3 linked regions of the Arabidopsis thaliana genome follow. The protein of the gene in region 3 purifies or fractionates together with the protein of the main gene of each other region. This does not show direct contact. Each region holds a gene or a part of one and is shown on either strand. Other genes may lie near its edges.

The links.
Region 1: the proteins of PAC1 (region 3) and RPT5B fractionate together in Arabidopsis thaliana (co-fractionation; one large-scale study listed by BioGRID). This does not show direct contact.
Region 2: the proteins of PAC1 (region 3) and CPN60A fractionate together in Arabidopsis thaliana (co-fractionation; one large-scale study listed by BioGRID). This does not show direct contact.

What each region holds. Positions count from the first base shown.
Region 1 is NC_003070.9:2,935,669-2,941,107, forward strand, and holds RPT5B (26S proteasome AAA-ATPase subunit RPT5B), read right to left. Parts: upstream 3,696-5,439; 5' UTR 3,591-3,695; coding exon 3,474-3,590; intron 3,130-3,473; coding exon 3,013-3,129; intron 2,774-3,012; coding exon 2,666-2,773; intron 2,548-2,665; coding exon 2,356-2,547; intron 2,258-2,355; coding exon 2,066-2,257; intron 1,970-2,065; coding exon 1,851-1,969; intron 1,774-1,850; coding exon 1,686-1,773; intron 1,605-1,685; coding exon 1,485-1,604; intron 1,305-1,484; coding exon 1,164-1,304; intron 1,085-1,163; coding exon 1,007-1,084; 3' UTR 860-1,006; downstream 1-859. Other genes in the region: RBOHB (respiratory burst oxidase-like protein), read left to right, coding at 1-49, 129-628, 718-827; AT1G09130 (ATP-dependent caseinolytic (Clp) protease/crotonase family protein), read right to left, coding at 4,063-4,191, 4,404-4,484, 4,697-4,780, 4,855-4,908, 5,129-5,202, 5,290-5,386. UniProt on the Arabidopsis thaliana protein: The 26S proteasome is involved in the ATP-dependent degradation of ubiquitinated proteins. The regulatory (or ATPase) complex confers ATP dependency and substrate specificity to the 26S complex.
Region 2 is NC_003071.7:11,924,560-11,930,347, reverse strand, and holds CPN60A (chaperonin-60alpha), read right to left. Parts: upstream 3,903-5,788; 5' UTR 3,746-3,902; coding exon 3,692-3,745; intron 3,378-3,691; coding exon 3,194-3,377; intron 3,097-3,193; coding exon 2,975-3,096; intron 2,901-2,974; coding exon 2,693-2,900; intron 2,608-2,692; coding exon 2,462-2,607; intron 2,380-2,461; coding exon 2,073-2,379; intron 1,988-2,072; coding exon 1,536-1,987; intron 1,452-1,535; coding exon 1,164-1,451; 3' UTR 860-1,163; downstream 1-859. UniProt on the Arabidopsis thaliana protein: Binds RuBisCO small and large subunits and is implicated in the assembly of the enzyme oligomer. Involved in protein assisted folding. Required for proper chloroplast development.
Region 3 is NC_003074.8:7,791,654-7,796,475, forward strand, and holds PAC1 (20S proteasome alpha subunit C1), read right to left. Parts: upstream 2,610-4,822; 5' UTR 2,418-2,609; intron 1,929-2,417; 5' UTR 1,919-1,928; coding exon 1,166-1,918; 3' UTR 896-1,165; downstream 1-895. Other genes in the region: AT3G22104 (Phototropic-responsive NPH3 family protein), read left to right, coding at 1-68, 158-526; CWLP (cell wall-plasma membrane linker protein), read right to left, coding at 3,630-4,685. UniProt on the Arabidopsis thaliana protein: The proteasome is a multicatalytic proteinase complex which is characterized by its ability to cleave peptides with Arg, Phe, Tyr, Leu, and Glu adjacent to the leaving group at neutral or slightly basic pH.

The DNA.
Region 1 (5,439 bases), on a different chromosome or scaffold from region 3:
AAAGTGGGCTCTTCATAGCTGACATAGGTCAAGCCAACAATATAACCAGGTACAGTTTTTGATTTATAATTTGAGTAATCATGATTTAAAAACATGAGCAATTTTTCTAATGAATTTTACATGGAAAGGTTTCCGAGGCTGTTAATCGATGGTCCATATGGTGCACCCGCACAAGATTACCGGAACTACGATGTATTGCTTCTAGTAGGTCTAGGGATCGGAGCGACGCCATTAATCAGCATAATCAGGGACGTCCTTAACAACATCAAGAACCAGAATTCCATCGAACGAGGCACTAACCAACACATAAAAAACTATGTTGCCACAAAACGAGCTTATTTTTATTGGGTAACAAGAGAGCAAGGATCATTGGAATGGTTCAGTGAGGTCATGAACGAGGTAGCTGAGTATGATAGTGAGGGGATGATTGAACTACATAATTACTGCACTAGCGTGTATGAGGAAGGAGATGCGAGGTCAGCACTAATCACCATGTTGCAGTCATTGCACCACGCCAAGAGCGGCATTGACATCGTATCGGGCACTCGGGTCCGAACCCATTTCGCTCGACCCAATTGGCGTAGTGTCTTCAAGCACGTCGCAGTCAACCACGTCAATCAACGAGTTGGTATGTCACTAGCTATTACAACAATTCCATAGCTATTGTAGAATCTTTCTAGTAAGTAACTGATTTTCCTTTTTCTATTTTGTTGGTAGGGGTTTTCTACTGTGGTAATACATGCATCATAGGAGAGTTAAAGAGACTGGCTCAAGATTTCTCTAGGAAAACTACGACCAAGTTTGAGTTCCACAAGGAAAATTTCTAGTTTCGATTCTATTCATCCATCAGACCATCATTAGAAAATAATAAGCAAAATATGTCAAGCTGATATCTATTATAATTATAACCACACTTTGAAGGGGTTCTAGATTCAAAAGTTGAGACTACAACTTGAAGTTTTCTATAATGTAAAGAGGAGAAAGAAGAGTGTACATAAAAGAGGACTTAGGCGTAGTAATTCAAGCTTGCTTTCTTCTTGGCTTGTACTTGAATTATACCTTCATTGAAATCCTCATGGTTCACCTGCACACACATTTACCATTTCCTCCATATCATCCACATCCTAAAGTTACAACCACTAAGACGAAAGATATATGCATACCTCAGTTGCATCCCGGCGCAGGGCAAGCATACCCGCTTCAACACACACTGCTTTGAGTTGAGCTCCATTGAAATCATCCGTTGACCGAGCAAGCTCTTCAAAATTGACGTCTGCATTCACATTCATTTTCCTTGAATGTATCTGTAACCCCATCGCCAACATTATGCAAAAACAAAACAGTACCCAAGATAAGTTATCCGCGGAATACATAGAAAATCACAGCAAGACTTGTCTAAGTGCATGAAGCTCTCTAATTTTAGCTTTAAAACGACATAGAAATAAAGAAAGAAAAAAGAAAAGATGCAGTAAAGGATACAGAACCTGTAAGATCCTGCCTCTAGCTTCTTCAGTGGGGTGCGGAAACTCGATTTTACGATCCAAACGACCAGAACGCATAAGGGCAGGATCTAGTATATCAGCACGATTTGTCGCTGCAATAACCTAAGTTTGTAAAATTATGAGTTTTTCATGCCTTTCACTAAATAAATAGACATTTGCAGGGGTAATATGAGGGGTAACAACCTTAATGCGATCATCGCTGCTGAATCCATCAAGCTGGTTGAGCAGCTCCAACATTGTCCTTTGTACCTCACGGTCTCCACTAACTTCGCTGTAAGCCAATTAAAAGTCAGCATTAGTCATCAGAAAGAAAATAAAATAGTTATGACATGACTCTAGATAGAGTACCTATCAAAACGCTTTGTCCCTATTGCGTCAATCTCATCTATGAATATAATACAAGGGGATTTCTCTTTTGCAAGCAGGAAAGCATCACGGACAAGTTTTGCTCCATCTCCGATGAACATCTATACATAAGTCTAAAAAAAGTTACTTTCCGTTTGGTTCAAAAAATATCACAGGAACAAGATCAAAATCAGTTACGTTTACTCTAGTTTTCATACCTGAACAAGTTGTGGCCCTGCTAGTTTGAGGAAAGTTGCATTTGTCTGTGCTGCACAAGCTCGGGCCATCAACGTCTTTCCGGTTCCAGGAGGACCATACAAGAGTACACCTTTTGGTGGACGGATACCCAACTTTTCGAACTGCTCTTTATGAGTCATTGGCAACACAATGGCTTCAACAAGTTCTTGTATCTGTTTAATTACAAAAACAGGAGAGTCACCAACATCAAATATTGTACCAGAGATACTAAAAACTAAGGAAACATGAAACAGGAGAGTCATCAACTAGCCTGTTTTTCTAGTCCCCCTATATCATTGTAGTCTTCAGTAGGTTTTTCGTCGACCTCCATTGCTTTTACTCTTGAATCATACTCAGAAGGTAAAGTATCCAGAATCAAGTAACTATCTTTGTTAACTCCAACTAAGTCCCCAGGCTTCAATGTATCTGGATCAACAAGTCCAACAACAGGGAGGAAGATGGTCTGAAAAGTATAATTAACCCATGAGATCATTATACAAACACTACACTAGTAGTCAGAGTTTGTTCCCCACTAGTTCTGAAAATCTCTCTAACGGTGATATAAGAGTCTAAAACTTCACCTGACGAGTTGATGTTTTTAGAACGACACACTTTCCCTTCCTCTGAGAGTCCAGATCGATATTCGCTCCATCTTCCTCTGCATCATCCTCTGGACTCATCTCAAGAATCTAGAAAGCACGGATAATAGATCAAATCCTAATTCCATCATTACACAAAAAAAAATTTGATGGTAAAATGTCTGAACTACTGTGGCAAAGATTCAAGGAATTCATCAGGCTAACACTACTAGTAATCAAAAGCATAGTACAATTGTGTCACTCAACAAAAAGGAATGTTATACATACCAAAACCAAAAGCCCCATATAAGGAATGTGAAACACCCCAAGAGAAGAGTCAGTGAAAGTACCTCAACGATATTGCCAACTAAGTAAGGAAGCTGTTTGTTAAGCTTAATCTTCTCCTGGTTCTCCTTTATTTTCTCCTTCACTGATTCCAAATCAAGGTTTGTCCTCTGCGATTCTTCCTACAACAAATCAACGTATTTGAGAGAAAAAGACATCAAAAAATTCTGGTGAATTTCATCCAATGAGCAAAAGACCAGTAAATATAAATGTCTTCTAATCATATTCTATAATTATCTAACTATAAAAACAAGTACTTTGAGTGAATTTCGATATCTTTGACTGATAAAAAGTGTGATATGAAACAAGAGTTATCGTTGCTCTCAGACATCATCCATCTTCTTCAAAACTAATCAAAGTGTCGCTAATCAAATTAAGGTAATAGTGAGCTTGGAATGAAGAAATATACTAGTTCCAAGTAGCCAGCAGATTAAAAATATAGAGAGAAGAGAGAGAGGGTGGTGACCTTGAGGATGCGAATCTCGTTGGCTAAGAGACGAGAAGCTCTACCGATGTCATCAGTAGTCATGGAAGCTAGTTGGTCTCCCTCGAAGCTCGTATCCTCCGCCATCGCCGTTGCCATCTCCCTTAGCAGCCTGAGTTAATCACTGTAAGAGTCTACGAGAGATCTCAGAAGACATAAATAGGAAACAGAGTTTGGCTTTTGGGCGAAGAAACAGCTTTAATTTAATAACACATGTATTGTATTAAATATTATCACAGTCAATACCCAACAACAAATCCGATGTCGTCCAGCGGTTAGGATATCTGGCTTTCACCCAGGAGACCCGGGTTCGATTCCCGGCATCGGAGCGTTTTTGGTTTTGTATCCTTTTTATTTTTTTCACAATGTATCTTATATCTATTTTAAAATCAAGTTATTGCTAAGCAATCTGGTCAAATTGATGATGTAGTTTTCTTAAAAGCTGACCAAAAAAGAAGTGAAGCCAAATGGAAACAAGTAAGAAACTGTTCAATATTCAAATCGGAAGGGTGAAGAAGAGAGTTGAAGATTGTATTTACTATTGCTAACGAACAAACACATTACAATTTTATCATAATATTTCAAGATCCTTTAAGTATGATTCTCCTAATCGCATGTTCACATTTACCAAGTGATTTGAAACAAGGCAGTCTGCGGCCAATGTGATTTTGGTCAGTCTATTTGTTCTTCTCCATGACGCCTGCAAATGAGTAGAGTTCAAGCAAAATACAAATCATTGTAAATACAAGCGTGCGTTCTAATGATTTGCAGGTAAGTTAGATGCATTTGTATTTCTTCATCAGAGATTTCCATGAATAAGATGGATTCATGCCTAGAGTAGCAATGGAGAGTTACGCGTGTCACTTACAGTATGATTTAGGCCAAGAAAACTTAAGACTAGACTCATACTACGCTTTTAATCCCTGCATTCTTGTCGAATTCCTCTGAAGGAACCACGTCCGCAATAATCTTTTCTTGACCGCGCCAAAGAATCTGCCAATGATTATGAGACCATCTTTAAAGCTTTAACTTGGAAAAGTATGAAAACAAATTCATCATTACGCACAGGCAAACATCAGGAAAAGGTAGAAGAGAGGGAAACTTGACTGGAAAGGTTACTTTGCTTGGTGACGATATGTAACCTTTAATCTTTTAGTATGTGCATATGAAAAGCAACATCAAAAAATTACAGTGCCCAAACTTACCCTGTCAATGACTCCAAATTCTTTAGCTTTTGGTGCATCCATGTAATATGGCCTTCTCATTACGTTAGCTACAGTCTCCACGGACTATATGACATATAAGAATGTTTTAATCAGCTATCAAATTTCTCCACAAAGTTATGAAAATATTTCGCACTCACATTCCCAGTATGCTTTGATAGTAGTTCCACAAGTATATCCCTATTTGTAATGACCTGCAATTGCATAACAGGAATGAGGAAGATGAAGTAATCAAACTCAGATTCTTCACCTAATTAGGTCATGAAATTCTGAACCAAATGCTTAAGTGAGAAATTTCTGTCCAAATTATCAGAGATATAATATAGGAAAGTAGGTAGAAGCAAAGCAGAAAGAGAAAATCTCGATCAAATTTAAATTTCCAGAATATTAAGTGTGTAGAGCGATTCATCAAACCTCTTTGGCCCGAATCAGGACATCACTGGCAGGCATCAACCCAGAAGAAGGTACACGTGGTTGCTGAATCATCGCTGTGACATAATGAATCAAACGTATGAGAGGTTCTGATTATCAATGGTGAGCCATAGAAGCGGCCAGAATGCAGTCGAAGTCTATACCTTTGGCATGTGGCATCATAAACCGTTTACCCTTGGTTCCCGCAGAAAGTAATAGACAGGCCTGACCTATGGCTGCTCCCACACATACTGTATGTACCTGCACAAATAAGAACCAACATGCTCACATGAAAAATACCGTGGAGACGAAAA
Region 2 (5,788 bases), on a different chromosome or scaffold from region 3:
CACTACACGTTTGTAGGAAGTAGTCTAACTTGTCTAGAATTCTTAATATTTTTTTTTATGTTACTAATCTTTGCAAGTTGATTAAAACATATAATAGCAGATAAGTAGTCTAAGCTTGCCCATTCGCCAAGCTTCCATAGAATTTTCATATGAACAAAAGGTGAGATGTTGTTGAAACCCTAGGAATATCTTTCAACTCCTCGATGATCACCTCTTGATCTTCAAGATCGAAGGGCAGAGAGATTGTTGCGGTCTTTAAACGCTTAGAGTTGGCTAAAATGTATGTCAAGAATTTTTCCCCTTCTACTCTATCTCTATATCCTTTCCACTCGAATATCTCTAGCTGCGATGACAAGCATCCGGGAACAAGACTCGGTTGATTCCATCAAAATGGAAGATCCTCGGTTTTGTAGATATATCTCTGAGAAGCAATAAGGGGTATATATTAAGCAAAATTTTGACTAGTATTTTAGTCCATCAAAGCTAGAACAAGAAGAGGAGGAAGAGAAGGATACATACATAATCATCTACCAAAAATTCTTTTAGTTTTGGAGCAGTTCCAAGTCAAAGTACGAGTGGTTCCAACGAGTCTGATCTCCCTGTATATATACTTAACTTTACAAGAATATATGGATTGTGATGTCCTGTGAAAGTATTGAAGATAACTGAATATGAAGGAACAATTGAAGAGCTAGAGGAAATGAGACATTTCATAGAGAAACTGTCATGTCTTGTGCTTGTCAAAGTTCGTGCCTGTGCAATAAACGACAAGGAGAAGTATCGAATCACCGGAGATCTGCTAATGGTTCGTAGATCATCGAAGTGCAATATCCAGATCAAGTTTTATGAGAAAACTAGTAAAGGCATGAAAAAACATTGTTCCCTCCTAGTTTAATAGTATAGTAAGTTGGAACATTATTCAGTTTGTACGCATATTTGCTTATTGTTCTGCTAAACTACTCTCGCTACATATAAAATGTTTGGTCGCATACATAACCATTTTCTGCAATTTCCATTGGACAAAAAAGATGATAATTATTTCTCGATACTGTTAACAAACTACTCATATTCCCCCAAAAAAGAAAAACATTGCAGATAAATGGGGATGACAAATGTGCAAAAAGACAAAGATGCCATTGTGATGATAAGATGTTGTGTTTTGATTACACCATGAGACCCTCAGGAGCAGCAGCAGCAGGAGCCTTGGGTTTCGGTTTGTCAACAACAATGGCCTGAGTGGTCAGTACCATTCCTGCTACGGAAGCAGCGTTCTGTAGCGCACATCTTGTCACTTTAGCCGGATCAATCACTCCAGCTTCGAACAGATTCTCATATGTATCAGTCATTGCGTTGTACCCATTCTCCCAATCGCTGAACATAATCTTTTCCACAACAACTTCTCCTTCAACTCCAGCGTTCTGAGCAATAAGAGCAGCTGGTGACAGCAATGCCTGAACTCAAAACATAAACCCTTATAAGATAACTAGTCACAATTGGTTACAGAACAAATACTGAACCGAAAAACTAAATGCTACCTTTTGTACTATGTCAGCTCCCAAACGTTCATCAGCATCCTCAAAAGTCTCCTTAATGGCGGGAATAACAGTGGAGAGATGCACCAAAGCAGCACCACCACCTGGAACTATGCCTTCCTCGATAGCAGCAAATGTTGCGTTCTTTGCATCCTCGATACGAAGCTTACGGTCCTCAAGCTCAGTTTCAGTTGCTGCTCCGACTTTAATGACAGCAACACCTCCAGATAGCTTCGCAATTCTCTCAGCGAGCTTCTCTGAGTCATACACAGAATCAGTCTCGAATAGTTCTTTCTTCAGCTGAGCAATCCGAGCTTGTAATTCGTCCTTGGAAGCTGCATCTGCAATGAGGGTAGTCGAATCTTTGCTAATCGTGACTTTTCGGGCAATACCCAATTGATCTATGGTTGCGTTTTCAACCAGTAAGCTCATGTCCATGGCTAGGTACTCAGCTCCTGAAAAACATACAAAATGATAAAAAGTTTAGACCATAACAGAGAGAAAGTAAAAGTACTAAACGCACGCGAAATCTGCATATACCTGTCAAGATTGCAATATCTTGAAGCATGGCTTTTCTTCTTTCTCCAAATCCTGGCGCTTTAACGGCAACAACATTGAGGACACCACGAAGCTTGTTCACGACAAGGGTAGCTAAGGCTTCACCAGTAACATCCTCTGCAATAATCAACAACGGAGCACGAAGCTGAGTGGTCTTCTCCAAAATAGGGATGATGTCTTTGATCGCAGTGATCTTCTGATCAGTGATCAATACCCTAGCATTCTCAAACTCAGCTAGTAGTTTCTCAGGGTTTGTAACAAACTGAGGCGAGATGTAACCTCTGTCAATCTGTAAATAATCAAGTTAGTCATTGGCAATGAATGGTGAATAAAATTACAGTTGAAGAGAAGCAAGACAAAAAAACTCATACCTCCATCCCTTCTTCAACTTCGACCGTGGTCTCAAAAGAAGATGAAGATTCAATGGACAAAACACCATCAGGTCCAACTTTGTCGATGGCATCAGCAATCATTGACCCTATAAGGTCATCATTTCCAGCAGAGATAGAAGCCACAGCTGGAAAAAAAAAAAAGAACAGATTGATCAGTAAAAGAAATCAAACATTGCTGCATCACAAGGAAGGTCACTGCAAAGTTAGTACCTCTGATGTCATCACGACCTTTCACGGGCCTAGCTTTCTTCTGAAGCTCTTCGATCAGACCTTGAACAGTCTTATCAATTCCCCTCTTGAGTGAAACGGGATTCGCACCAGAAGTGACGCTCAACAATCCATGTTTGATTATCTCCCGAGCAAGGATAGACGCAGTGGTTGTCCCATCACCAGCAGAGTCATTAGTCTTACTCGCAACCTACCACATAACAACACCAGATTACCGCACCGTATAAATAGCATTAACAGAGACAATAACAAAGCTACACCAACCTCACGAATAAGCGCTGCACCAGCATTTTCCATGGCATTAGGTAACTCAATAGCTCTAGCAATGGTGACTCCATCATTCACAACCTTAGGACTTCCAAATTCATCCAACACAACATTCCTCCCTTAAGAATAACAAATGAAAACACCAAGATAAGTCGAAAGATAAATAACACAGATGAAGATGGAAAGAGTAAAGGAGCTACTAATATTAACAAATACCTCTAGGGCCAAGAGTGAGACCAACACAATCAGCAAGCTTATCAATACCAGCTTGTAGAGCAGCTCTAGAGTGCTGGTCAAAAGCTATTTCCTTTACATTAGCTCTAACACTAAAACGTCTGATTGTCCTCTTGTTGTAGCTAACTCTCTGACCTTGCTGCTGATTTCCTCCTCCCAACTTACTCTGTATACCCACAACATCAATAAAGCAGATTCATTAACATTAATCTCAATCAGTTTCTTCTAATTCCCATAAAAATTAACCTTTTCTCACCAACCCAGAAACCAAATAGAGAAAAGCAATTGAATTGAAACAGAACAAACTAAAGGGTCAAATTCAATCACTTTCTTCAAAAACCCAATAAACCAGATAGAGAAAGGTTTTTGAAAATAGATAACACTGAAGGGTCAAATCCAATCAAAACAAAGTAATGAAAGATGATTCATTTTCTTCTTTAGTAAGTAGCTAAGGAAGGTAAAAAGGAACAAACTTTGTACCTGACGGGAAGAACAGAGGACGGAGGCGGAAGAGAGAGCGTTTGCAGACGCCATTTTGAGAGAAAAGGAGGGAGCTTTTTGAGGAACGTTCTGGATTGGTGTGGATAAGGAAGTGGTTAGTGTAAACGAATAGTGTGGGAGGAGGGGTTAGGGTTTATTAGATAAATGGAGAGAGTAGCTGAGAGAAAAAGGATCCAGAAGATTCTTTGCATTCGTAACGAGAGAACCGTTGATCTTAATAAGCCTTTTTCACCTACTTCTATGGGCCTGTTTGTCTCACTGTTTATGGCCCAATAATAGAAACAGTACTCAAGAAACTTTTATAGTTTGTGTATTCCAAATTCGTTTTTATCCATTCTCTTACTGAATGTACTCACTCTGTTTTAAAATATAAGAGGTTTAAGGTAAATGGATACATATTAGGTCATTTTGTATATAAAAAATAGTATTTAGATTTTGTTAAAAAAAATGATAATGAAAACTGCAAAATATAAATAGTCACAAATAGTCAAATTAAATTTAAATTTAAACTTGTAAAACATCTTATAATCTGAAACAAAATAAAATCCCTAAAACATCCAATATAATGAAACAAAGGGAGTAATATTTAGACCAAACTAATAAGTACAATTTAAGACTTGTGAAAACCATGAGATTATAAAATACATGTTAAGTGGATGAAAACACCTAGCTTAGAGTAGATTTACCCGCTAAGTAAAACAGAAACTCTCATAAAGACAACAGTTACTACTTTTCTAAACAGAGAATAGACTCCAAATCACCTAATTGCTACATGATTAATTGATTTAGTTAAGCCAATACAATTTGTTTCTAAATCTTTTTTCATATAAGTATTGCTTGTTGTACGCATCATATACCATGCATTAAATTAGTTTCCCATGAATAAATTCACTAGTTACGGAAAAGAAAAGTTGGGAAGTGAGATAATAAATCTGACAAAAGTGGCAGTTTCAACTCTGAAGCGTCAATCACATAAATAGTTGCAGTTTGGCGTTGGGTTTGATTTGATTGAGTGAATTGACCAAATAAACACACTTAATTAATAACAAAAGGGAAGTTACGTAACACAAAAATTATAAATAGGGACGTCTACATGTATTATTCCTCAAAAGATGCAGCTTACCATAAGATGACGTCCATATCTTTAATGGAAACCGTGCCGTAAAATTGACTGCCAAAATGTACAATGTAGAAAACATGAGTAAACTAACAGTTGTCCTGATGTACAAAAAAACACACTAACAGTTGTCCGATGAAAAGAAAGAGACATGTAATTTAAAGCATTACGACAAAAAGAGTAAATAAATAACACTGTTGTTAACTTGTTTTAGTAATCTATTGTAATTATTTTCTTGAGTGGTTGTGATTGAAACGAAACAATTTAGTGGACTACTAAGCAAAAATAGTTAGGATATATAGAGCATGCAACAAAAGACATGCAAAAACATAATTTGGTTTGATGTTTTGCATATGTGTTTATAGTTTTCTAAAACTTAAAGTGCCTCATATAAACAAATAATTAAGTTAAAAGTGTATTAAAATTCTGAAATTTAACCACATTCCTATGTTCTATATGAAAAAACAATTATTAACCATTAAACTACCATAAAATAACTAATACTTTATAGACTTATGATTTTATTTTATTTTATTAAAGAATTTAGTTAAAATTAATTTTAGGGCCGTTAATTTTATTGTTTTTTAGATATTCCGTAGTTTATTGCATGTTTCAATTTGTATAAAAATGTGTTTCATTTGGATATTGATACATGTGTATCAGTTTAAAGAAGAAAATAATTTTCGTGGAAAAAAACCGACAAAATAGATTTTTAAGAGAGTAAGTACAGTACCGTGTAATAGAAAGACTGATAAAACCCACCTTAATACGTCAAGAAAAAAACCATTACAGATTTTACGGCTTTACGCAATCATTATTCTCTCTCAGTCTCTCTCAGTCTCTCTCTCTATCTCCCACGGTCGGTTTACATACATATCTAAACTCACCACCGGAGCTCCGACGATTTTTCCGGCCACCTTCCGATCGGTATGTGTTGTGTTCCCTTTTTTCTTCTGAGA
Region 3 (4,822 bases):
CACTTGTTCCAGATTCAGCCAGAGAATCCCACGAAGATATATACCGTGCTATTGATATGTATCTCGAGGTACGTTTCAACACTCATCTCAAGTTCAAAATGTAAAAAAGAATGTTTCGATCTTTATCACACTAATAACAGTTTAATGGCTCGTTCAGGCTCACACAGGAACAACTGATGGCGAAAAACTCAACTTGATACGAACTTTAAGTTACGAGAAGCTTTCAGGAGAATCAAGAGCTCACATTTCGCGTAACCAAAAGTTTCAGGCTATTGAGACACTAGATGAACAACAACAACAACAACAACAACAACAACAACAGAAGCAGCTCATACTCAGAATGGAGAAGGTTGAGACTTCAGGAGAAAACGAGAAGCTGAAGGAACATATCGAAGGGATTCAATGGAGGGTAATGGAATTGGAGAGAGCTTGTTTGAAAATGCAGAATCAAATGGAAGTTATCAAGAAGAGATCCAAGAGCTCGAGCAAAGGAAGTAATAGATCACTTCCTAAGCTCTGTTCTTGATTAGTGAAGCTGTAAGCTTACGATCATATTTGTACATAGAGTGATAGAGAGCATAAGGAGTCAATTATAGTTACCATTTGGTTCTTATGTTTCAGAGTATTTATCTTTTCTTGTGTTGTTTTCTTTGTCACAAAGTTGTGCGTAATGAAAAGTAAAGATAAATTCGTTTTTATGGAGATGATACAAACTTAAATCTATAAAATTTTCTTGTGAGATTAATACCAAGAATGCAAAACAAAAATCTAGAATTTTGATTCTATTCTTCCTTAAACGTTACTCTTTTGTGATTCCAAGATTCTCAACGTGTAATTGCGTTTACTTAGAAGATAAAACAGTTCTTTTTGACGAGGCCGTTACGTGTAAAACTTTGCGCGACAAGTAGAATGCTTAGTATTCAAGTCATGAATTGAAGAAATTCAGACTAATCTAAAGAGATAAGAATAAAATATATCTGTTCCTTTGATCGACATTAGTAAAAAGATGATGCATTGAAGATAAATTCATAACATTGTCAAATCTAGTTTCATCGCCAAAGGTAACTTCAAAGTTCAAACCAAAAGGAAAGCTGTAAAACAGAGAACTACAAACATAAAGCGGAGACACCGTACCAGGCGAATAAGACTAGAGATACTTTTGGGCTTAAGATGTTTCAGCAGCGGGTTGAGTCACACCGTGCTTGACCAACAGTTTGGTGAGCGACTCAGGTGAGTGAACATGGTACTTAACAGTCTTGGATGGAGTCAGATACACTTCAGCAAGCTCTAGCTTCTCAGATGTTAAGCTAGTGCTGTCCATTGTCTTGGTCAGAACCTTCAAGGCAAGCTCGACTGCTTCTTCCCTGGTTGCATCGTCCTTGTAGTCTTGTTTCAGGATAGACTGAGCCGCCTGATTGTTTGCTCCAACAGCTGCAGCTTTCCAACCACCATAGTTCCCACTCGGGTCACTCATATAAAGCTGGAAACCATGGTGCTTGTCCCATCCTGCAAAGAGAAAGGAGACACCAAACGGGCGAAGACCACCAAACTGTGTGTATCCTTGTTTTGTGTCACAAAGAGATTGAACCAGCTGCTCAACCGGCATGGGCTCTTGGTACATGAAGGTGTAACGTTGAGCTTGAACTCGAGCCGTGTTGATAAGTATGTTAGCATCAGACATTATACCAGCAACAGCACAGGCAACATGGTCATCAATCTTGTACATTTTCTCAGCAGAGGTTGAGGTTTGAAGAAGCTTTGAGGTGACTTTCTTCTCACCGATCAACACAACACCGTCTTTGGATAAGATTCCAATCGCAGAACCGGCGTTTCCAATGGCCTCCATAGCATACTCTACCTGGTAAAGACGACCTTCTGGCGAGAAGATTGTGGTACGGCTATCATATCTCCGAGACATTCTTTAACACCTGCACCACAACAAATGCATTGGTCTACACAACTAATTCATACTCCATTAGACACAGGGCAAGTTCCGAAAACACGAAAACTAGGGTTTTCGACATCACAACGATCAACAAACACAATTGATTCAGATTAAAAACTAGACTAAAACTAGGTCAAGTTTCTTCAATAGAAAGGAAATGAACTAGCTTTATAAATCTATGTTACTTTGAGATCAACACAAACCTAAAGTCACAATCACAGGAGCGAAGAGAAAAATCGAAAGATAATTCAACAATCACTGATGCCCATATAAAAACACCTAAAAACTAAACATCACCCAGAATCGAATCTAGCTAGGGTTTATAAAATTCTATCAAAAGTTTGAAGATTTCATAAGAAAACACTTCGCTCAAGACAGATCCAGCAAAATTAAACAGGAAAGGAAGATACACAGATTCTGAAAATTCTAGGAACAAGTAGGAGAATGAAAGACATTGGATTTAAGAGAATACCTGAGAAGAATTCGTTTCTCTCTCTCGTTCGGTTCTTCTTTGATTTTGCTGAGAACTTTGCTCTCCACAAAATTTATGAGCTCTGAGATGTGAACTGTTCGACAAGCCAGAAAGAAAAGAAAAAAAAAAGGTGTTTTTTTTTTGTGCTTTACAGATTAGGCCCAAAAGTGTAATTTATGGATAAGAAAAGGCCCAAATTATATAATCAAGCCCAATGCAAGATCCATAACTCGGAATCTCTGATATATCTTAATTTTTGTTGTCATATGCTGATTTTTTTTTTTTTTTTTTTTTTTTACTGATATGTGTATAGAAATATAAACTAGATTCATTTCTGACAAAAAAAAAAGCTAGATTCATTTTACGTGGATGTATTTATATACACATATCAGTAAGAATATCCCTTTTAGAAAAAACATTTAAATGTGCACCTATTTCATAAATCATAATAAGAATGTAATGTTATATATATTCACGATGTTAAAAGAAAAGTAAAAATGTAGTATTTACAAACTAAATGTTTTGTTAAATCCCTGGTACGTAGTAACACACAATGTATGTTATTTGTATAAGAAAATACATAGATATATCTCTTGTAATGTATGATAAACAATTGTCACTAACAAGATAACTAATAACACACTCTAAAATATTAGGGGCTTACTTATTTTCTTGAAATCTTCATAAACAAATCAAAATTTTGTAATCTTATCATATATCTTTTTTATCAAATGTTTGGACAAAAAAAAATGTGATAGATAATTTTTTTTTAGCAAGAGTATACGTGTATACAGTATAACTAAATTTATACACATGTTCTTGGTCAGTAGCTGCGCTGTGAGGCGCATATGCATCAGTGCAATGCGCATGGGCCATGGCTACAAAAATCACATTTTTTCTACTCCAAAACGTACGTATGTACATAAAAACAAATTAGACAGATACAAACTTGTTCATATTAAAAAAAAAGTTATATCGTTTAACAGTTTTTTTTTCTTCTTCTTAAAAGTACAACATAACAAGAAAGCCCAAAGAAATTGAAATCTCAAACCCAAATTACAACGCCTTTTATTGTATCAAATGAAACATGTAACTAAAGGTCGCACATATGCAGATTAACCTCCCATTACCAAATAGATCATGAAACTAACAAATTTCTTGAAGAAACGAAACTTTTGGAGTCGTCCAGAGACTCTCAACGTTCTACATCGATTAAGCGGGACATTTGAAGTCAGATGGTGGAGTTTTTCCACAGTCGAGAAGAAGCTCAAGAGCAATGGGGAGAACAAGGTCGATGTTGAGAAGTTTGAGCTTAATGGTGGTACATAGACAAACGGCTGCGTCTAGGTCAAGTAAACCTCCTAAAACCGGACAACATTCTGCCTTGGCGTGGCTTTTTCCAAGTCCGATGTGAATCAAACCTCCAAGAACGTCCACACAAGCGCCTAGCTTCAGCGTGTCAATTGGGCAAGTCTCTGGAATAGGCGTAGGAGGAGTTGGTGTTGGTGGTGTTACTACGGGTGGTGTTGGTGTTGGAGGTGTCACGACGGGTGGTGTTGGTGTTGGTGGTGTAATGACGGGTGGAGTTGGTGTTGGTGGTGTAATGACGGGTGGAGTTGGCGTTGGCGGTGTTACGACGGGTGGGGTTGGTGTTGGTGGAGTTATGACGGGTGGGGTTGGTGTTGGCGGTGTTACAACTGGTGGAGTCGGCGTTGGTGTTGGTGGTGGGCATGGTGTAGGCGGAGGCTTGTGGTGGGGTGGTTTCGGAGTAGACGGAGGAGGCTTGGTCGTGGGAGGTTTAGGTGTGGACGGGGGAGGTTTGGTGGGAGGTTTAGGGGTGGACGGAGGAGGCTTGGTTGGTGGCTTTACGATGGGAGGTTTTGGGTGGGGGTGAGGTTTGGTGGGTGGTTTAGGGTGGGGTGGTTTGACGGTGGGTGGCTTAGGGTGGGGTTTGACGGTTGGTGGTTTAGGATGGGGTTTGACGGTTGGTGGTTTAGGATGGGGTTTCACGGTGGGAGGTTTTGGAGTAGGTGGTTTTACTGCCGGTGGTTTAGGTGGTTTGACGGCAGGAGGTTTAGGCGGTTTGACTGGATGTTTTGGTGGTTTGTGAGGTGCTGGTGATGGTTTAGGAGGGGTACAGTCGCAAGCATAGGAGACGGCAACGAAGCCAAGGAGGAGGAGGACGAGAAAGGAGAGGTTTTGAGAGCGAGACCCCATTTTTTGGAATGAGGGTTTGGGTTTCTGAAAGGAGTGAGTAAGTAGATACATGAGTGTACGTGTACCTTTTATAGAAAAACTCTCACGAGATATTTAATTTTTATATATAAATATTGTATGCACCAAATTGTGGTTTAGATGATTGAAATTGGATTTGAGTAAGCACGTATTAGGTCACTTTGTTACAA